2 linked regions of the Drosophila melanogaster genome follow. The protein of the gene in region 1 interacts with the protein of each later gene in a pairwise test. Each region holds a gene or a part of one and is shown on either strand. Other genes may lie near its edges.

Region 1 (11,794 bases):
CAGAATGGGCTCAGGCAAGCGCAAGAAATGGCATGGAAATACATTTGGAAACGGCGAGCAGTGAAATACTTAATTAATTGCTCGTGCTTGAAACTAAAAGCAAATGAGCTCGAATTACCCACAGCCCCCGTCAGTCAGTTGATCACTTGATCGTGGAACGCGGACACGCCAGTCGAAAGAAGGTACATTAGCTAGTGTCCGGCAGAAAAGCAGAAAGTTACTGTTGTGTCGAACGGGAGGAGTGATAGCCAAAGCAATAACTTACACACTTACGATCCGTAAGAGGGATTACAAACTCGTTTTTCACTCAGTCACAGTGGCGAAGGCGATTAGTCTTTAAACTACTCGTGTACGGAGCGTTCAAAAGTTCAAGTCTAATTGCATCCAAGTCGCGTAACCATCAGAAGATTAACCACGATACACTGTGCGAAACGCTCAGAACACGCACTTAATATAAATATATATACATATATAAAGCTGTGCCGCGATTGCGAAAGTGCCCCGATGCTATATAGCTAACTTAAAAATTTCGTATTTTGCGACGAGAAATGAAAATATTCCTTCGTTTACATTCTAGAACAAATATAGGAAGTGGACTTTTCGCAAGTGGCAGATGAGAATTTCTCGAAAGTGCTAAACAGTACAAGTTACAAAGTGTATATAGTTACAAAATATAGCAAAGTGGATTTCCTGATAGAAAGTACGGATTTTTTCAATAATAATAATAATAACTATATTGTTTTAAGTCAAGAACATTTCTAAAAGTGCACACAAAGTGAAGAAAGTTCTTGAATTTTGTAGTACTCACTTACTTTCAGTGTACCTTCTGCAACATTATATTTAATAATGTTAATTGCTGTGGAAAATCGATTGAGTGCGCTGCACCGTGAGAAATACCGCACTTGTCTTGGCACTTTAACGTACTAAAAACAATGGAAATAACATAAAATTAATGCTGAGCTCAGTGAACCATTTTCAGGTGAACTTATGCAAAACAAGCCAAAAAAAAAAAAGAAGATCCCATGCGGCGATTCGCGACGTGATCTTTAGAGCTCTTAACTCGAATCGGTCGCTTATAATGACCTATTAAGTCGCGCTGGCCTTACGAGTGCCCGACTATTCCGACCGACCTATGTATATATCTTGATAACTATAACTTTGTCGTACAATACATATGTGCAATGCACGCAGTGCATAAAAGGGGCGGCTATAAAACGATTTGACAAGCAGCTTTGTATTTTCAGTCTTCAAACGCGACCCAAGCTCACTAGGTACATATATCGGAGTCGAACGGGAGTTCCGAAGGATTTCCACTGTACCAGCCAACTATTTGTGGATTAGCCGATTTTCAATTCAAACAAGGTGAGTAATTGGATCTCATATATACATTTGTATATATATATACATATAGAGTGCTTTTCTTTTTAAGAGTGCATTTCTGAGTGTGTAGCGCTAGGGACCATAAAAATATCTTAGCCAGATCACCATCACTATCACTATGTAGCTACGCTCAGCCCTTATTTACGAGGCATCACTGTCTGTCCGTGTTTTTTGCATTGCCTTTTGCTCATTACTGTTGCATGCATTCCCCCCTTTCGCACTCGTCGCTCGAGAATTTCAGACAAAGTTCAGTAACTCGCCGACGACATTGACCCATTTAGCCACCGCCGATGCTCCCGACTCGATCAGCCTGAATAAAGAAATATTAATTTATTTACATACGCTAGCATTTGCATGTGCATACCGGTTTAGTTAGTTGTAAAGTAACTTGTGTGTGTATTCATTCGATCTGCATCGCCATGACCATGCTGACCACTGCATCTGCGATGAGGTGCCTGCCCTCTGAATTCCCACTTGGTGAGCAATAGCGAAATCTGCCGAACCCCATTTTTTATCGTATATTTATTGCAAGTACTATATGCATTTTCTTAGAATTATCTCCCTCAAATAGAATTATTTTCTATATACGTACGTATGTATTTATATAAGGCGCGTGGCTACAGTTGCTCGAAAAACTATACACCAGTTTGTTAAAAACTTATATACAGTTGTGCTGGTAATTGAAAGTCACGATTAGTTCGAGAAAGAGTATTTAAAAGGTATTCAAAATATAAATAATTTAAAAAAAACAACACTTTTTGCAATGCCTTTTGATATGCCATCTAAATTGTTTGGACATCAAGCGAGTATTCATGTAACAATCCATTTGTTCGATGTCAGTAATATCTACCGACTTGTACTTTTTCCATCTCTTGAGTAAGGTCAAAGCACTTTTGCTTTTGAACCGCCATTGTCACGTTCTTCAAAAGCAGGTTTCTCATGCAGGGTTTTTAACACGCTTTTTGCAAAGAAAAAACCGAAGGGCGAAGGTTGACATTGCAATGGGTCGTAACCCCAGAATTACTCATATTACTCGCTTCAAGTTTTTTCCATATACTCGCAGCTTTGTACCACCCAGTTTTCGTCAGCATCCGCTTCGAGATGGCCAATAAAAATTGACCAAATGACCGAAACTGGCCGTAATGAAATCGAGAGTATCATCGCAACGTAAATCCGTATCCATGAATGGCCGAAGTCTTCGCACGTGCGATCGTGCGATTGAACCGATTTGTCCAAAACCGGGCGGGAACCATTTGCTGTCCACAACGCAGAGGGTGCTCGGCTTTGGGACGTGTTAATTATACCAAATATGCCTGGCTTAACACATGGGGCTGAGAAAATAGGGACATATGATATGACATGGTGATGCGGTGTCATTAGATGCGATCTTATGATCTATAACTATGATCTATAAATAGTTGAAGATGCTTTCAAGTGTCCAATGTTTGTGGTCTCCAACAAATTGCTAGTGGGGTGACCCCAGGTGTAGGTACGCCGAACAGGTGTAAGCACTAATTGGCGTGTAGCTGGGCAGCATTGAAACCGGATGGCTATGCACGGGCACGGGGCTTCAGGGTCGCGATGGGAAATGCCTATGCCAAGGGATTTTCAAGAGCCCAATAGTACTGTGGGCGATTACCCGAAGAAAACCCGAATAAATTAGGCAAGTCCAAGTTGAAAGCGAAACTGAAACCGGCTTGAGGTGGCGGTGGCATCATTTCCCAATGACGATGCACCCCAGACCCAGTAAAGCTTGCTCGCTCTCCCTGGGCAAACTCCATGTGTCTCTCCATCTAGCAACTCCACGCTCTTGCGAGGCACGTGAATGTCATGCTCAAGTTCAGATTCAGCTGGTGATGATCACTTAATGGGTGCACAACTTGTTTCATATAATAGCATTATATAGTTATTCCCCATCACTAGTGCAAGCAAGCAAGAAAATATATGTTTCAGTAGAAGCTTATTATGTTGAAACTACTTCATTTTGGTGCATTAAAGCATTAAACAACTATAGTTAAAAGACCCCCTTATAGCAGAAGTAGTTACTGTCGGGAAACAAACCCACTTGGCAGCACTGGCGTCTCGATCGGCGACACCCACTCTCATGCCGCTCCGCTCACAATTCCAGTTTTAATTCTTGGCCTGGCATAAAATCTCGACTCGCGCTTTTGGCCGCAACAGTTTCATCTGGGCTTTCAGCTCCGTTGCACGCGTCACTCGCAGCTGGTTTTTTGGGCCGTCTTTGCGGAATACTGTTAGCCATTATACCATTATAGCCTTTAAGTTTGGGCCAAACTAGTTTCGGTCGTGTTGTGTTGTCTTGTGTTGTGTTGTGATCCGTGTGTACTATTTAAGATCTCGTATTTTCCCAGACACAACATCAGCGATTCAGTAGACTCTTGTGTATCATTCATGAATGCAAAAACAGACGATACCCTAAGCAAATCACCTGGCCCATCTAGCCGAAATTGGTAGCAATTTTCAATGTCAGCGCTTCGGATGCTAATCTCCTAGTCTTTTGTTTCGAGCCAGCACTAACGCTAATTTTCGATTTGATGGGAAATCTTCAGCGCTAATTTCCGATTTGATGGGAAATCTAGTGTGCTAATTTCTGATATCCAACTGCCCCACTATATAAGCTCACAGACCCTGGCTCCTCATCTCGCAATTCGAAACCTGCCTAACTGGAAATTACGCTCAAGTAGAACGCGTCAAGTGTCTCCAGAATTTAGTTCAAGGCTCCTAACGTTATTTTCTGATCTCTGAAGAATTGCATTATCTTCGCGAATCTCTGGCCTCTTCTTCCGTTTTAAGCAATTTGCGAATGTCAAGGTGAAGGTCGGCCAGGTGATTAATAAATAAATGAATACATATATGGATATGTTTAGACGATCATCGCATTGACTGGCGGGAAAGTCTAGAAACTCGATGCAGTTGAGCCGGTTCCGAGTCACTTGTGTCTCGCTAATAAATTGAAATCTCTACGCTTTTTTCTTCTTATAAATAGAGGGCACAATTTTACATTTGGCAAACTGAAAATATACAGCGGCGAACCGCTTAGAAAAAGCACATAGCTTAATATAATCGCAGAATAATTTCAGTTCAGCCAGAGCAGCAACAATTGCAAAATGAGTAAGTAGTAATTGTGAAGTATGACAACTAATTGGCAATCGATGTCAGTTAGCTCAAGTTATTTAGTTGGCCAAAGTTCCCAGTGCTCTCAGTGTGAAACCCGCAGCCCCAGCTCAAAGTACAGAAGCTGTCGCTAACCGAACCCCAACTGCTTCCCTTCCAGGAGTACCCACCATGCTGTCGGACATCGACCAACTGCCCACGCTCCAGGTGGGCGACTACACGCTCCAGTTCGAGTTGGGCGAGCCGACTGCCCAGGGCAAGGAGGTGGCCATCAAGGAGCTGCGCGAAACACCCGAGCGCCAGAAGGAGGCCTCCAAGGAGCTGGCCCGTCTTCTAGAAGGTGAGTCGTGATCAGAAATGGAGTTTTACTTTGAATCAATATAATTATACATTAACTACATGAGTTAAAACTCACATGATGAAAGTCATTGAAACTGCATTACATCTGTTTAAAGTATATACATATATCTGAACTGAGATCATACAATATGCATTTTGCTAAGCTATTTTCATAATTTATATCCGAGGGATCTCCAAAAGCTGATAAAAACTTGAGTTAATAAAACTTAAGCCATAAACTTCGTACTTAGCCTGCATCTAATAATTTACCCGATTGTTGGGAATTGAAAATCCATTTGTACACCAAGTTCGAACGAATAGTTCTATATCATTAGTTGGCGACTTCGTGTCACTAATAACAAGTTGGGGCTAAAAGCAGCGCGCCCTCGAGAGGATTTCGTTGCATAAGATTCGTAACTATTGTTACAAATTACGATTGCCTTTTAATTGCTGGATAAACTTAATGCCAGTGGTTTAGTGACTTTTTAGAATTAAGACTATTGAAGGTGAGGTCGATTAATATTTGCGATATGCTTCCAGCGGAGACGGACTTGCTGTACCCCAAGGGAAACGAGGAGTGGCTGATCAGATACCTGCGGCCCTGCAAGTATTACCCGGAAAGTGCCCGTGATCTGGTGAGTCTAGTGTGGCAACCCAGTTTCCAGCTGTGTTACTAATTGTATATATTCTGAATATGGAACAGATTAAGCGGTACTACGCCTTCAAGGTGAAGCACGCGGATGTGTACACCGACCTGAAGCCATCGAACGAGGCCAACATCTTCAAGCACAACATCCTTACCGTCTTCCCCAACCGAGATCAACTGGGTCGTCGCATTTTGGTCCTCGAACTGGGCAGTAAGTACACTGAAAGAAGGATACTTCAATATATTAGCTTTTGAGTGCAAAGATCTCGATCTTCAGAGTAAAGTTTATTTTAGTTAAGATGCAGGTTTTCCTATCATTTGAAGTTTCATAGTTGCTCCAAGCATTGAGCAGATCCTGTATTAATCTTTCGTAATCCCCGATTACAGAGCGCTGGAAGCACAAGCAGGTCACCCTCGATGAGGTGTTCAAGGGAGCTGTGCTCTTCCTGGAGGCGGCCATGCTGGAGCCAGAAACACAGATCTGCGGAGCCGTTGTGATCTTCGACATGGATGGCCTCAGTCTCCAGCAAACGTGGCAGTTTACGCCTCCGTTCGCCAAGCGCATTGTGGACTGGCTTCAGGACTCGGTGCCGCTCCGGATCAAGGCCATTCACATCGTGAACCAGCCGAAGATTTTCCAGGTGGTCTTTGCCCTGTTCAAGCCCTTCCTCAAGGAGAAGCTGCGCAGCAGGATCATCTTCCATGGCACCGATCGCGAGTCCCTGCACAAATACATGTCGCCCAAGTGCCTGCCAGCCGCCTACGGAGGATTCCGGGAGGCCAGCCGCATCGACAGCGACCAGTGGTACCAGCTGCTGCTCAAGTGCGACACCGAGTTCGACACCATCAACTCGTACGGCTACAAGAAGAAGTGATCTGTGGCCACCGGCCTGGTGCTGCTCGTGATAATCAACTCCACTCGTTTCCACACGTCTTCACATTAAGCCCACGTGGAGCGTTATAGTTAAGCACTCGATCTACCATACGCTTGTCCTGTTAGTGAGTAGCGCCTAGAGTTTGCCTTAGTCTTAACCAGGATCGGAGTGTCGATCGCAGCCAGAAGAAGTGTTATACCTACATGCATATTATTTTAATCCGGGGTAAGCGTATTTATATCATTTTACTATTGTACATTAAACCAATTGTTAAAATATAAACATACTTTGTAAACAAACACGTGCGGTATTCATATTTATTCGTTTGTTCCCAGCTTTCACATCAGATAAACACACTTAAGGCACTCCGAAATTATGCAATATATAAGGAAAAAATGTAGTGATTACATTCTGATTGCCTTATGCGTAGTACATTAGACACCTAAAGCTTGCTTTCCTCAAGCAAGACACTTGGTTATGGTAAAGCTTATATACGATTGTTATAAGAGTATTTCATACCGCATATATTCGATACGGTAACATAACAAAATAATAACTTAGTAAGATAATATTAAAGCATAGCAAGTAAAAATGGAGATCCTATTCTTGACATAGAAGCTAGCTCATAGTTAGCTCGCTGTGAAGCATAGTTCCCTTAGAATATCAACCACAACGAGGCAATCCACTCTCTACAGCCATCAACATTGGGTGGATGGGTTGCCTTTCGGTCTGAAGCTCCTGCCCCTCCGCGGACTGGAATGCATTGAATCTGAAGGTCAACCCGGCGGGGTGAGTGGTTAAATTAAGCGTAAGTTTCCTGACAGCTCCTGTCTGTCTGCTCATAGCCGATAATTGGTGGCTGGCGCCTTGCTGGCGTTGCGCTTCTGGCCGAACACTTTCTTGCCCGGACTGTGCATGGCGGCATCATCGCCATCCGCGTCCTGCCCTACGCCGCCGCCACCGCCTCCTCCGCCTGTGCAACAGATGCGCCGCTGCACCAGGCGAATGGGGCGGGTGAGGTCAATGGTGTCGCCGTGCTGGCGCAGTTCCGCCTCGGCCACGCACTCCATGTGCCGCCACTGGCGAAGGCCAAGGACGAACGCATCCGTCACATTGGTGGCCGCCTTCGATGACGTCTCGATGTGGCAGGCCACCTTCTGCTCCGCGCACCACTGCTGCACTGCGTCGGAGCTCACCTGTCGCTTCTGCGCCGGAATGTCGTTCTACAATTGGAAGCAATTAACCTTTTAAACTCAAGATGAACGTTCTGCAAGCATGGCTCACCTTATTTCCCACCACGATGAATGGAAACTTGTCCTGGTCCACATCTGCGTAGTTGAGGAACTCATTGCGCCACACACCCAATCCCTTCAAGCTGTCCCGGTCGTCGAGTGCGTAGCAGAGCAGACAGATGTCCGATCCTCTGTAGAACGGGGTGCGTAGAGCCCGGAATCGCTCCTGGCCAGCGGTGTCCCATATCTAGTTTGGGGAAATTCCAATTAAGGCAATGCATCAATTAAGTTTGATTGAATTGGCGATTCAAATGGCGCTCAATTGAAATTTGCATTCGATTAGAAGCAAACTCACTGAGAAACAAACACTTTCGCCGTTTGAAAACCTATGGAGTGTTTGCATGCCTGACTGACTCACTTATATCAACACATTTACTGTCATTTCTTGTGTGTTAATTAAATATTTAGTTTTGAACTGATAACGAGGTGGTGATAAGCAATTAGCTCAGGAAATAGTTCGTTGAATCTGAATTTTCGAGTAGCATACATACTTTAAATATTTATTTTATACTTTTATTTATTTTATACTTTCGAACATGAGGTTATACTTTTAGCTCTAACAATGGATACTTTAAACTTCTTTATCTAATATAAACACCTTTGGCCTCCAAACACATGGGTGGAATAACCCTTTTAGGGTGTGAGTACTGCCCATGGTAACTAAGTGACTCCATACATATGTACATATGTATATAGGTAGTGCAAAAAACACCCCAGTGATTCCACGATTTTTTGCAGCACTGGGAAATCCGCTTTTGGCCAAGTTCTTCCTGTGCCCAGCGAACTGTGAACCAGCAAACTATGCGAGATTCCCGTCGGATTAGTCATATGTATATCAATCAGTCCACATTCGCTACTTCCTACTTTATAATGTATCTGCTGGTCCAATTAGAATTATTATTCCGATTTGCGACACCTTGGCTGCATTTTGCTTACTCACTGAGACGCGCTGCATATTCATGAGTTTTCCGAGCTTGGCGAACTGTGAAAATCATTTAGTTCGATACTTTTGAAGACAACAGTCCGAATGGAAAATGGAAAACAACTGCGATGCGGATGAGATGGAGCGGGGGAAACCGCGTCGGCGGATGAAACAAAGTCTCTCACTTGTTTGCCGAATGGCGAAACTGTCATTATTGTTATTATTTCAGTTTTTTGTTTCTGCAATGCCATTCCGTTCTCAACGCTAATTGAGTAGAAATCTAATGTTCATATATGTGTGTGTGTGAGTGGGGATGGGGCAGATGGAACAGATACCCCCATAATGTAGGTACAGCTACAGTGGAAAAAACTACGTAATTAATTGATTGCACATATTTTTTTCTTAATTTCAAATGCAAGACTCAAAAACGTGTCAGTAAGATAATACTTTTCTCTGGTATACGAGTGTTTCAAATGGTTCAAGGAATGTATAGTCAATGTTTCCTTGTTTAAATGGTTTAATTTGTTAGCACTTCTGTTTTTACCCTGTTTAACTTACTAAAGTTCCACTGTGCCGCGAATGTAAGGGAATGGAAAACAAGGCTTAATCGTTGTGTAGTTTCTAAGTGTTTGCATCAACAAAATGCCGGTGGATCGGGCACAACCATGCGACGGTGGGATAGATCCGTTTGGGGGGGGGGGGAGGGGGTTAGTGTTTAAGTGAAATACACTTGAAGGAAATACGCTTGGCCAACTGTTGCATTCACCATAAGAATTGCAAAAGTTCTACGGCCTTGCCGCAATATCGGTATTACTATTACTCCTAGTCAGTAGTTGGATTGCATAATAGTCATAGTCGTAGTCTTCACCTGCAGAGTGTAGCGCTCCCCGTCGACGACTATGTCCTTGTTCATGAACTCCACGCCGATGGTGTGGAAGTTGTTCTCCTCGTAGCGATTGGCGACGAATCGGGTGAGCAGGGCGGACTTGCCAACGCCTCCGTCGCCCAGTATGACGACCTTCAGCAGCTTGGACTTCTGCGGCGGCCGCATGTTCGTCATAGTGCCTGCGTTTGTTTGTTCTTGCAGTTAAGTCCGGCGGCAACAGCAGTGGCTAGATTTCTTTGGCCTTTTCCTACTGCGCAGCTTGGTTGACTGCCGGCTGCAGTGAGTTTTCGGCTTAATTGCACTCACGATTCCCGAGCGATTAGCAGGCGCACATACAGAATTGCACACGGCGTGTTGTTAACAACGAATATAATTCGTTTTTTTTCGTTTAAATAAATCGAAATGGGCAGCTCAATCAAAATTCGCGCCGTGCAGCAGGTCCAATTGGATTGGCAGTCAGCTGACAACTAACAGACCGGGCCTTTGGCCTAACATAATGCTAAGCTCGCCGTTAACAGAGCGCCAGTGTGGGGTGACCACAGCTCACTTAACAGCTTAACTACATAACTGTTAACTTTGAATAAAAAAACGAAAACCTCTTAACAAATTCTATAAAAATTTTAATTCGTTATTAACTAAATTGACAGCCATCGGACCAAATGTTTATTGACTTAATCACAATAATAAATTAGACTTAGCCCTTGATAACTGCAATTGGGCGCATCTTGATGCACTTTTTGCTGATGCCAGCTGCGTGACAGGTGTCGACCACATCGGTCACGTCCTTGTAAGATTCGGGTGCCTCCTCCATGACCAGTTTGGGCGAGGCCACGCGTATGGCGATGCCCAACTGGTCCAGCTTGTCCAGCACATCCTTGTAGTCCAGATTGCGCCGGGATTTGGCTCGAGATAGTGCACGACCCTAAAGATTCAAGGAGGTTTTAGTCTGGCGAACAGGAAGAAACGGGATTTGGTTACTCACCGCTCCGTGGCAAGTGCTACCGAACGTCTCCTGCATGCCCTGCTCCGTTCCAGTTAGCACGTAACTGCAAGTGCCCATGGTTCCACCGACGAGGACTGGCTGCCCGGTAAGCTGATAGTCCACTGGGATCAGGGGATGGTGTGGCGGGAAGGCGCGCGTGGAGCCCTTCCGGTGAACCAACAGCTTCCGCTCCTTGCCGTCCACCATGTGGTTCTCCACCTTGGCAATATTGTGCGAAACGTCATAGATAACGTGCATGTCGAGATCATCGGGTGTGGTGTTAAACATCTTGGCAAACGCTTGACGGGTGAGGAATGTCATGGAGCTGCGATTCACCCAGGCAAAGTTCGCAGCCGCCGCCATGGCCTTCAAGTAGTCCTGTCCCTCCACCGAATTGATCCTGGCGCAGGCCAGCTGCCGGTCATTGGTCTCGATCTTGTCCCGCTTCATGGCCTTCTCCATCTGGACCAGGGCGTCGGTAGCGACCTGGTGGCCGAAGCCACGACTGCCCGAGTGAATCATCACCACCACCTGGCCCTTCTCCTCGATGCCCATCTTGGAGGCGCTCCACTTGTCGTAGATTTCGTCCACCACCTGGATCTCGGCGTAGTGATTGCCCGCACCCAGAGTGCCCAGCTGGGGCAGCCCTCGCTTCTTGGCCCGCATGCTCACCTTGGCGGGATCGGCGTTCAGCATGCGGCCGTACTCCTCGCAATGCTCCTTGTCCTCCGCCCACACGTATCCCTCGCGCAGCGACCAGTCCATGCCCATTTCGAGGGCCTCCTCCAGATCGCGGGCATTCATGGGTATGATGCCCTTGGAGCCCACACCCACGGGTATGTGATCGAACAGGGACTGCGCCAGTTGCTCCTTCACCGGCTGCACATCCTTCTCGTACAGATTCGTGCGCAGCAGACGCACGCCACAGTTGATGTCGAAACCCACGCCGCCGGGACTTACAACGGACAGCGGATCGTTCATGTCGAAAGCAGCCATGTTCCCGATGGCAAATCCGTAGCCGGAATGAATGTCGGGCAGTCCAATGGACCTGCCCACGATGCCCGGCAACGCGGCCACATTGGCTATCTGCTTGACGCCAGGCAGGAAGCCACCCACTGCGCCCGGGCGACAGGAGTTCTTCAGCTCCTCCAGCATCAGGCGCTCCAGCCGGCTGTTCACATAGAAACACCCCTCCACATTCATATTTGGCTGGAAGCCCTTCTTGATGCGCCAGCAGTGGTCGCTCACTTTCTCCAGGTACCGGAGCTCATCGTTGTACGGACGCACCACCATCCTGACTCTCCGGTCGTTCTCTTTGCCAGCCAATCGCTTCTTAA
Region 2 (11,318 bases), on another chromosome or scaffold:
CAGCTAATGGGAGTGCTGGACAACTGGAACCCGGACACCGGTACCACGACACCAGAAGTTGCACGCTTAAGCTAAAACTTGTGACTAACTCTACAAGTAATAAATCTAATGTAAAGATTGCGATTGTATGCCTCTTCAAATGGCTATAGTAAGAGCCCAGATTATGTCATACCATCGAAGTTCAACCGCCACAATTCGCACTCACATCGCTGAAGGGAGCCAAGCGAATGAATCAACCCCTAGTCAGCGAATTTAGTTTTCGTCGGCCGTCGAGCAATGCACTCTTTGTAGGTCAGTTATGGGGTGGCATGGGTGGCCACATGCTCCATGGGTCTTCGCTGGTGTTGCAACACTTGGTGTCGTCATGCGTCGCGTGCCCGGGCGTTTTGCTTAATGTGATTAAGACAAAGCGACAACAAACCAAAACAAAGTGCATTCGCTGACGGAACAGGAGAAAATCAAAGCGACCCGAGTTTATTGCACCCCTTTTAGCCGGTTAGACGGTGGAAAAGGCTTTTCGTGTTCTCCGACACAGGAAAAAATAAATTTCATGCAAGCTCAAATATTAAATCAAATCGGGCAAGACATGGACTGTCGGCTATACTTAGAATATATGCAAATAATGGTGATTAATCTGGAATATGGACATATGAATAAATATTATAAAAAGTCTAAATACAGCTGCCTACTAACGCTGGTATGTGTTTGTTTATTGTGTACCTCGAGGCTATAAGATATAGCCCCATATCTTGGAAAATGCAATTTTACATACACACAACCATTAGTCGCAAATATCGTGGCGAAATTGTCGGAGGGCGCGATAAGATAATTGCCTACATGGAACTGGTACCGAAGAGGTTCCTGAACTTGCCATAAATTACCAAATTTCTGGGCACCGTGCGAAATAGAATTGATAAGGTCGCTCGATAAGTCCGTACCACTTCGGATTCTGAGTGCTGAGTGATGCACTCAATCGACTAAATGGGTACAAAGCCAAACGAGTTGGATTTACAAACAGACTCACCTTGAAGCGGGTTTCGGTTTTCGACTGCGGTCGTAGCTTCTGTGAATGAAATTCTCGGTTCTCTGGGCTGCTGGCTGTCTTCGGTGTTTCAGCAGGTGATTGTCGTGATTCTCTGGCGGAGATGAAACAGCATAGCAAGCGGTTCCCTAATGTATTTTTCCGAAACTATGGTGTATAATCCGTATCCGTGTTCCTAAGTTAAGTTAATCCGCGCGCTAGATCCGTCTATCGTTTTTCGAGTGCACAGGTGTTGCATGTGATGTGTATCGTGTCCTGTGAGTGCGGGGGGAAAGTCCCTCCCACTGTTGGTAAGAATTGTAGAAATGTGTAAAAGCCTGGCTAAATGCCTAAAAGACGTACAACGACGATACAAATCCGACTGATTTTCATTTTTACACAAACACACGCACACTGCGACAGCACACTCTCACTCACGTACACGCACGCACACACTGCCAGGTGGGCTGACTTCTGATTCAGTGCGATTTTCGCGTTCTGCAAGGTGTATCTACAACCTCCCGAAACGCGTATTCACTTCGATTTCCGGGTTCTAGCGCTGCAGCATTGTTTATCTACCACGGATATCCAGATTTTCTTCGCAATCGGTCGAGAAAACAATAAATTTATTGTGCAGCTTAGAGGTGTAAGAGAAACATAGACGTATCGATGTCTCTCGATGGTTTGTGCCTATCGAAATCGGTGTCCCGCAATATACACAGCTTCCACTAAGCGAAATTTTAGCATTTTGGCATACGTGTAGAATTTAAATGGAAAATTACCCTTGGTAACGCATGTACGATCAAATTCGCACCAACTCAACGGTTCCTAATTCTTGTCGTGCAAATGAGACAAACAAATTTATAATTATTAAAATAAAATATATTCACATCGGATTGTATTGTTTCTTATATATATGGCCCAAAATTAAAGAATTTCATTTTAATTAAGAGCATGGTCGGCGTTGCCATACTTTCAAAAAGTTTTCCTTAAGCTGGGGTATATTCCAATAGCACAACAACGGTCACTCTATTTCAAAATTCAAAACAAGCTATTGGCGTCGTCTGTCTGGATTTTGTGTATGGAATAAGTAGATCAGAAGAAGCAAATGGGATCCAAAGTGGAGCAGCAGTACAAGCTGCTGAATGCGGAGCTAATGGACCAAGTGCAGAAGCAGCGCTTGGAGATCGGCGAGTACAGGAAGCGGGTGATATCTTTGGAGCGAGAGATCATGGACATTCGGGAGGAGCACGTCCTGCAAAACCATCGCCAGCGCATGGAGAACATCAGTATCGTACGCAGCCTGATGCTGAGCCTGAACGTGGACTCCGATTCCCTGGCAGTGCGTCAGGAGCCCGCTCCCGCAGCTCAGATAAACAGACCAAGCGGCCCGCGTCGCAGCTCCAGGGAAATCTGCAAGGACATGCGACGGACGTGTGCGTTGGCCCGCACCACCAGACCAATCTCGCCAAGAAGATCTTCCTCAGTGACCAGTACTGTATCGTCCACTAGTCGCCGCTCCAGCGCAGAAGTGCAGTCCGAGGTGGTGACCACTAGGATACCAGAGGATAGAAGAGCCAACAAGGTAACTTATACTTAAATTTGATTATGCTTTTCTTAACGATTCATTATCGGCTTGAGTACAGCCTACACCACCGCCACGAAGACCAGCGGAATTAGTGTTTGATGAGGACGACTCGGACGATGATTTCGACGAAGCAGTAAGCCCCGTGGAGGAGACACAGACTGAGCAAAATGAAGAGAACAATCGTCTGTTTAGCATTATAGAGGAAAATGGCAGTGAAGGGGAGTCCACAGACTCGTCATCATCATGCGAGGCCATCTATTGCGACACAACGTTTGAAAGTAGTCCGCCAAACGCCCAAGTCACCGTCACGCCCAGTGGACGGGCTCTGCGGGAAGTGGACACCAATATCCCTGTAGCAGTGTCCCTCAGTCGGGGAAAAGAGACTGGGAAGGGATCATGGTTGGCTATTTCCGTAGCTGTGGAAGATTCTCCACAGGAGCCAAGCATACAGTGCCCACGACTGGCAGTCACCAGGCCTAGTCAATCGTCTGGAATATTTCCTGATGTCAACGGATTAACGCCGCGAAGAAGCCTGTTCAATGGGATAGGCAAAATGGCCGGAAGCACCAGCACTCCGAAATCCTTTCTCGTCGAGGAAATGCCATCTATAAGAACTAGAAGCCGAACTGCGGCTAATAAGAAATCAGAAAATACGGATATGTCTAGTTCTTTCTGCAACAACAGCGCAAGGCCGAGTAGAAGCTGCAGGCCCACCAGTTTGGTGGAGCCAAGTCTGAAGAACAAGTTGCGCAATGGCTCGAAAGGCAAGGCCAAGGCCAAAAAGTAGATAGACGAATTTTTTAATAGGCTTTAATGTTGTTTCTGTAATTTCATTGGTTTTCAATACCACTTTTTACCATTTTTAATATGAATAATATTTTTAAATCGTCAGGCCCTGATAAGTTTAATTTATAGACTAAAAGCTGACATCGGATTACTTTTTGCCTGCAATAGAGGGCATATTCAGTTCATCCAGCGCTATCGGAAGGAAGACACTCCATCATCATCATCACCCAAAGATGCCAATAGGAATTTAAAAGTACGTCTAATTTTTACATGTTCATTTGTGAATAAAACAACGTTTCAATTAATTATTTGTTAATACGCTTTTAGGGGAACTCATTTTATAGATTCCTCTTAGATGCAAACTACGTTTATTCGCACAAAGTTGTTGGAAACATTTACAAAAGACTCTGAAGAACAAAGTACAATTACAATTACAATTAAATACAGTAGCAAAAGGGTAATGATTATACGTAGGTAGGCGATAATTGCACTTCTTTTAGACTACCTCGAACTTGCCCATACAACAGTTGAGATGGTCTCCTGCATGGTTGTGGCTTGGCTGCTCCGTGTTCTCCTTGATCTCGCTGATAATGTCCTGTATCTTGTTGATGATCTGTTGCGAGTTTTCACCTTCGCCAGGAGTGTGTTCGCTACCTGCGGCCGCTTCTGGTTGCTTTGCCTGGGCGGCATCTGCGGGTAGCTCCACGCCCAAACTGACCACCAGCTTGTTTAGTGCCTCAATCTTCTCGCGCAGCTGCTCTCGCTCCGCTTGCAAGAGACGCATTTGGGCGGCCTTCTCGTACTCACGCTGCTTTAGCATGCGCCTCTGCGTTTGATAGAGGGCAATGTACTCGCCAATCGTTTCGGTTTCGCTCTGCAGCTGGAGCACCAGATGCTCCAGGCTGTGCTTCTCCTCCGTCAAGTCGGCGACCTGGCTGATCAGTGTGGTGAAACGCGATTGCAAGCGTTCCACGGCCTCGGCGGTGGGCAGCGTTTCAGCTGCTTGTCTGTGGGCGTGGTTCTGGCCGTGATCATGTGGATGATCATGCTGATGATCGTGTGGATGGCTATGTGAATGATCATGTGTGTGATCGTGCGGATGATCATGTGGATGACCATGATCACCAGCATTATGATGGTTATGTTCATGGGAATGATCGTGGTCATTATCATGACAATGACCGTCGGAATGCTGATGAGAGTGATCGTGCGAATGATTATGCAAAAGACCAACTTCCTTCGCTTCCTCTGCTTCGTTTTCCGGTGCATCTGCTCCATTCTCTTTTTCGGTTTCCTCACCGGCGTGATAAGCTTTTGCCTGAAAGAAATGATAATGGGATATAAAGTCAGTTAAATTTTAATCCCAGTCCAACCCACCTCATAATGCCTGAGACGGTCCAGCTGCTGTTGCAACATTAACTGCTGACGTTGTAGTTCCACGTTCTCGTGCGATAGTCTAATCATTTCCTCATCCTTGAACTTAAAGCGCTCCTCATTTGCTTGAAGCTTTTGCTCCATGCTGTTGTAGTTCTGGCGGATTTCTCGGTTGGCAAACTCTTCTGAATCCAAGCGGATGACCAGCTCGGCTTTGTCGTTTGTCAACTGAACAAATCGCTGCTGCAGTTCGTCCAACTGGTTTTTCATCTCTACATTCTGGGTTAGGGCACGCGATGCGGCCACTTTGTCTGACTCCATGGTGGCCAACAGCTTGGACTGATCGGGCTGCTCAGCTTGCAAGCGTTCGAGTTGCTTTTCCAACTCGTCTAAAGCCGAGTTCTTTAACTGCAGCTGATCGTCCTGCGACTTGATCTTCAGCTGGAATTCGTGGCGCTCAAACTCGAAGTTTTCGATCTGCTCTTTCAAGACAGCCAGTTCATCTTTTAAGGCTTTCTGAAATTGAACTAGGAGATTAAACAGGTTTTCCATATTTTTTTGGCTTACTTACCTGCTCGCTGGTTTCTTCCTTGGATGGCTGCACTTGACTGGCCTCTTTAAATTGGGCCTGCAGGCTGATGTTCTTTTGTATATCCCGCTCCAGGGCGCCCACGTGCTCCACAAGCTGGCGTTCTCGCTCCCTCAGTGAGTTCAGTACCTCTGAGAGTTCTGTGTTTCGTTCGTTGAGCTTGGCGATCTCGCCACTCTGATGCTGCACATAGTTTTGATACTGACCAGCTGCCTGCTCCTTGTCCTGCGTTAGTTGACCCACCATCGCTTGGAGGTCGCGTATCTGTTGCTCGTACATGTATTGTGTTTGCACCAGCGACTCCACTCGGTTGTCTGTGGTGACGCTAGACTCGTCTGAGAGCTGCCGCAGCTTCAGCTGCGCCATCTCGAGTTCGTTCGATTTTTGGGAAAGCTGTTGCTGCAGTTCCTCTTGATGCTGGTTGCTCTGCTTTAGCTGGGCCTCTAGTTCGTTGAGATGCGACTGTTGGTCCTTGATTTGTGCCTGCGATTGTAGCAGTTGTGCCTGGAGTTGCGCGTACTGCTGTCGCTGCTGCTCACCGGTCGACTGTTGATCCTGGCAGTGCTGTTGTAGCTGCTCCAGACGCAATTGATTCTGATCCTTGAGGATGCGAAGCTCCTCCAGCTCTAGCTCACGCTCCCGGCAAGCCAGGCGAACCTTGGTCAGCTCCGCATTGAGCTGGGCCTTTTCAGCGATGATCACCTGGATGGCCTGCAAGCTAGAGGCATCTGCCAGTCCACCATTGTGTTCCGACTCGTTTTGGGCAAAATAAGAAGCGGCTGTGGGCAGGGCAGACTGCTCCGGCGGCTGCGTCCCACCTGCTCCTCCACCGTTCACATTTATCTCGCTGTCTGACCGTTCCGACAGATTGCTGGATATGCTCACAGTGGACGAGTGCGATTGCGTGGTGGCAGCCACCGGCTCCTCTGCTCCCGGCTGCCCATTGTTGTTGCTGGCGCGCTGCTGGTACTCCTTCAGCTGTGTCCACAGAAGCGTGTTAAACAAAATCAATATTAGTCGGCCAATATGTGTCCACGTCACAAGAGCAAAACAATTGTGTGTGGCACTGGTTGTCGCACCTTTTTCCTTGCCGCGGCCAACTTCTGCGCCTTGGCATCCTGCGTGTCATCGGGCATGTCCTTCGGGGTCAGCAGCGGTACCTTTGCCACACCTGGAGTAAGCTCGGTTCGGAAGGCGAGCCAACAAATGTAAATTAAGCTAGGCAAAAGTGGAAATTTCTGAATGTTGATAACAGGTCTGAAGTTCAGTATGACCGTACGCGTTTAGAGCCAAAATGCCGCGCGAACGGGTACACTAGGCGGCAGGGAAAGCACAGTTATATATTGGCGCGCATTTTTAGCTTTTTTTTCATTTTTAAAATCGAACACGTATATATGCGTATCCGTTTTCAATAAACAGAGATTATGTACAATTAAGAAATTTCACTCTACTTGCATAAACGTTCATGCGAGGAGGTTTTGAGAAATACTCTTCAAATTAAAAAAAAAAAACAGTATTATTTATCGAAACAACCATTAGTTCATCGTTTCTTATCACTTCACTTAAGTCGGCTTCCTAATTCAGTCGTAGTTAAGCCGCTGTGAGGAGTAGAAGTCCAGGTCGATACGATGTACAACCTTATCAAGGGCTCCTTGGCAACATACTGCTGCCTGTGCCTGCTACTGATATTGATTGACCCAGCGGAATCGGGACAACTGTCAACGAGATTCAACGTGAGCTTCGCCCAGCTGGATTCCTGCGAAACCTACTCCGTTCCGAATACGGGCTATGGCTACCGGAGGTTCTACATGCTGCGCGAGCTGAGCAACAACAACAGGAAGGCCGGAGAGCGGCTGCACTTGAAATTCTACGTCCTGACCGCCATGGATGCGCACATCCTGCTCTCGGTGACGAATCACCCGCGCCCAAATGATCGCGTTTACGAGATCGGTGGGTGAAATCAATAATATTCAGTTTTAATTCCAGCATTTCAATGAGCTCTTTCTAGTGGAACCCTACCTAAATATTCAATTGATATCTTTATTCCGCTTGCAGTGATAGGAGCCGGCGGAAATACGTTTTCCGCAATCCGGAATGCTATGGGAATGAGGCGGGTGGCCACGAATCAAGAGCCGAACTTGGTATCGCTGTACGACCCGACGCCAATTGAGATTGTCCAAAACCAGAGTGAGTTCCCCCATCTTATCGGGTATTCCCTGCCCCTCCAACGCACAGTATATTTCCAGATGGCGAGCTGTTTGTTTACATACCCGGCTTCAAGAAGGAGCCCCTGCTGCAGTTCATCGATGAAGCACCGCTGGTCATCAACTATCTGAGTTTCAGCTCCTTTGGTTCCAATACGGCGCGGTGGTTTTACGACTGTGGCTTCGATGGTTATGGTAAGGATGATATATAGTAAGCTATAAGTCTATATCTGTAAGTATGTTCTAAAACTGACCCATTTCAGGGTCGGAAATTGCACCGATAGTGAAGGAGGAAACGAAGACGGAAAAACTGCTAAGCCATCTGAATATCCAGGCGGAAAATGCAAGCATGCCGGCTAATCTCAGCTCCATATCGTTCCACTTCCAAACGCGCTCCCTCGCCTACGAGCAAACCAGTTCCTTGCTTCAGACCCGCATGCACATGATGATGGTAATGAAAGATAAGCTCGAAATGCAAATATTTAGTGTGAAACAGTAAAGATACATTCGCCTATCCATGCAGCACTGGAGGGATAGTCGTCTTGTCTGGAAACCCGAGGACTTCGGCTCGCTGGAATCTTTCGAACATCCTGACCTTCGTATATGGAAGCCGCATATGAACGTCCTCAACGGCGCCCTGCAATCCATGGGTCAGGTCCTCCAATCCTATGAGCTGATGGTCTACGCCAACGGAAGCATCACCCTGTACGCTCAAAACCTCCAGCTGGCCAGTTGGTGTGTGGACAGTGCCCGAAACTGGCCAAGCGAGCGAGTGACTTGCGACATCGAGCTGGGTCTCAATGGCCAGGAGGGGCAGGAGAATGTGGCGCTAATCTACGATGATCAGCGCAAGCCGATTGCGCCCAATGAGCACGTGAACACGCCATCCGGCTGGTCGTTCACGCAAATGTCCGTGGTGCTGGTGGAGAACGATTCGCAAAGGCGATACAACCCCAAGGGAATGATGCAGAAAATGACCGGCGATGTGGCAATTGAGTTCACGCTGCAAAGGAATCGGAGCTTCTACATGACCGTCTTCTATTTGCCGTTGATTGGTAATATGAAAATGTGTTTGATTTCTTGTTATGGAATAACATATAACTACAATATATTCTTTCAGCCTGCCAGATGTTCCTGATTTTGTCCTTTGTACTGCGTTCTACTCGTAGGAGTTCCCTCATTCTCATCGCCTTGCTGATTGCCGCCTGGGGTTTAATGTACATGACGCGCTACGCCTCTCCGCATTATGTGCCGCCCATGAGTAAGTTTTAAATCAATTAACTAAAACTCACTGTGTATAATTTTCAAATTCAAATTTTCACTTTTCCTACAGTGACTGCATATAAAGTCATCATGATGACCACCACCTATTGCTACATTCTGCACATCTGCATTATATGGCTGGATCTATATCCACCCAGATCGAAGGCTCCTGGCTGGCTGGTTAGGGTGATTAACTCCAATGTTCTGCGATGCATTCTGGGATTGAGATTTTCGGATGTGAGTAGTTAAGCCCCTATTGAACACATATACGTATTGCAATTCACTATATTCCTACAGTCTACCGACTATTGCGACATTCAGGAGAATCCCTGGCACCATATGGCCAAGATCCTGAACAACCTGAGTTCAATCTTGGTCATTATAACCTTTGCCATCGTAGATATTACGAGTGGGTTTTGAAAAACAGAATTTTTCTTTATTGTGCATTTGAGAGAATATTAATGGTTCTTAAATAAATAAGAAGTAAACAGAGAAGATTGTGAAGATTTTGCGACTACAAGTTGAAAAAGTGGGAGAGCGTGCTGGGCTGTTGCGACTCCTCGCAGTTAATTGCTGCCATTGTTCCAACTCCGATCCGGGATCGATTTGGATTTGGAGTGTTTTGGTATCGGAGCTTAGTGGTAACCGTATCCACCCAGGGACAGGGCAGGTGCAGCGTATGACTTAACCAGGGCAGGAGCTGCGTAGCTGATGGCTGGAGCCGCATATGACTTGACCACCGTGGGAGCAGCGTAGCTGATGGCTGGAGCGGCATGGGCGTAACTGATGGCTGGAGCGGCATAGGACTTGATCACCGGAGCTGGAGCAGCATAGGCGATGGCAGGCGCAGCGTACGACTTAACAATGGGCGTGGCATGGGAAACAACCTGTGCATGCAAAGTAGATTGTAAGATTAAATGGGAAAATATCAGAGTATATCCAGATCTTACCGAGCTGAAGTGCGAGTAGCTGGTGGCTGGAGCTGCCACCTTGACCGCCACAGGAGCAGCATAGGACTTGACCACCGTGGGAGCGGCGTAGCTGATGGCAGGAGCGGCATGGGCGTAGCTGATGGCTGGAGCGGCATAGGACTTGATCACCGGAGCTGGAGCCGCATAGGTGATGGCTGGGGCAGCGTAGGACTTGATGACTGGAGCTGCAGCTGCATATGTTATGGCAGGAGCGGCATGGGCGTAGCTGTAGTCCGGAGCCGAGTGTCCATAATCAAGGAGTCCAGGAGCAGCAGTGGCCACAGCCAGCAGAGAGGTAAGGATCTGGCGAGGTAAATGGAAAACCAAACTTTGATGTTAATCTTTTTGATCTAGTGAATATAAGATCGAGGTAATCCTTGTATGAAGATATCCTTTGCAGTCAGTATTATTGGCTTAAAGTGATAATACTGATCCTAGGCCGCATCCTTTCCAACCCTTTCCACTCACCAGAAGTTTCATGCTAGCGCTGGATAACGAATCACTTGGCTTGGAGGGAGAATTGCAACTGTAAGTGGACGTGTGCATTGCGTTACTTTTATACCCCTCGACGGCAGACCACGCACTCGCACTCTCGAGCGGACTGCGAACTGCGGACCGGAGGACAGGTGGTCGAGCGGACAGATCTTGACTAGATTTCGATCTGAGCCTCGGACGGACAAACAGTCAGCAGACAGCAGTCAACAAAGCGGGCCAAGCAGCACCAATTTGTGAAGTATCTCGGCTGCAGTGAAACTGCAATTCTCGTAGACGCAGCTCGGATTGGAGAGCCCCCAAACGCGGATGACGCAACCTGAACTGGAGCTGGGAGTTGGGAGCTCCGAACCGAAGGCAGACCACTTGCCGGCTAAGGAGTCGCCGCAGGAAAGGCGGTCTTTACACTGGGGGTGCCATTGTGGCTCGCATTTGGAAAGCGCACGCTAATTGAAATCGCTGATTAGCTGGCCAATTTGGGCAACGCGCCAGGTGACACGCCCCTCGAAAGCACGCAGCCTTGCCACTAACAACTTAATTAGCCAACGTAGAATGCCGTCTAATTGTTTTCGTTGCTATGTTTGAGTATTCTCGAAACAATTCTCGGCGTGGCGCTGGGAAATTCTCTCCAAATTGCATAATGAACGCTTGCCAAATCGGCAAACGCCAAAACCAAACACCAAGCAGCAATCCCCTCTGGCCGAAATATCTAGGCGAGCTTCATATTTATCTTTATCGTGCCTCGAATGCCGCTGCGTGCCACATTTGACCATATTGGATGGGTGATTTCAGCCGCAGCCACGCCGTCTCGTCTCGAGGACACTCGTGCGTGGCGAGGGGGTTTGGATCGAGTGGAGGCCCCAGTTCGCCAGCTCCAGCTCCAGCTTCAACTCGCCATCGATCCATCGACTTTGCCGGCTGAAATTGCCGGTTCAGCATCTGGCAGTTCGTGGGATTTTTTATGGCCGACTTGATTAACCCCACGGGATGTGCGGGGGTACGGAGGTGTGACATTGGGTCATCACAAAAT

What was found.
Region 2: the proteins of Rab9 (region 1) and GM130 interact in a two-hybrid assay, tested with the Drosophila melanogaster proteins (one study listed by BioGRID).

The regions. Positions count from the first base shown.
Region 1 is NT_033779.5:19,430,727-19,442,520, reverse strand, and holds Rab9 (Rab9), read right to left. Parts: upstream 9,948-11,794; 5' UTR 9,650-9,947; coding exon 9,458-9,649; intron 7,855-9,457; coding exon 7,660-7,854; intron 7,599-7,659; coding exon 7,215-7,598; 3' UTR 6,680-7,214; downstream 1-6,679. Other genes in the region: CG10237 (uncharacterized protein), read left to right, coding at 1,800-1,857, 4,676-4,855, 5,395-5,489, 5,558-5,711, 5,888-6,375; RtcB RNA ligase, read right to left, coding at 10,170-10,397, 10,458-11,750.
Region 2 is NT_033778.4:22,120,869-22,132,186, forward strand, and holds GM130 (golgi matrix protein 130 kD), read right to left. Parts: upstream 6,635-11,318; 5' UTR 6,495-6,634; coding exon 6,438-6,494; intron 6,337-6,437; coding exon 5,341-6,336; intron 5,286-5,340; coding exon 4,773-5,285; intron 4,714-4,772; coding exon 3,892-4,713; 3' UTR 3,699-3,891; downstream 1-3,698. Other genes in the region: mei-S332 (meiotic from via salaria 332), read left to right, coding at 2,130-2,606, 2,668-3,396; NtR, read left to right, coding at 6,987-7,308, 7,414-7,545, 7,605-7,757, 7,826-8,013, 8,086-8,617, 8,683-8,823, 8,896-9,062, 9,123-9,245; CG34205 (uncharacterized protein), read right to left, coding at 9,461-9,712, 9,776-10,099, 10,265-10,342.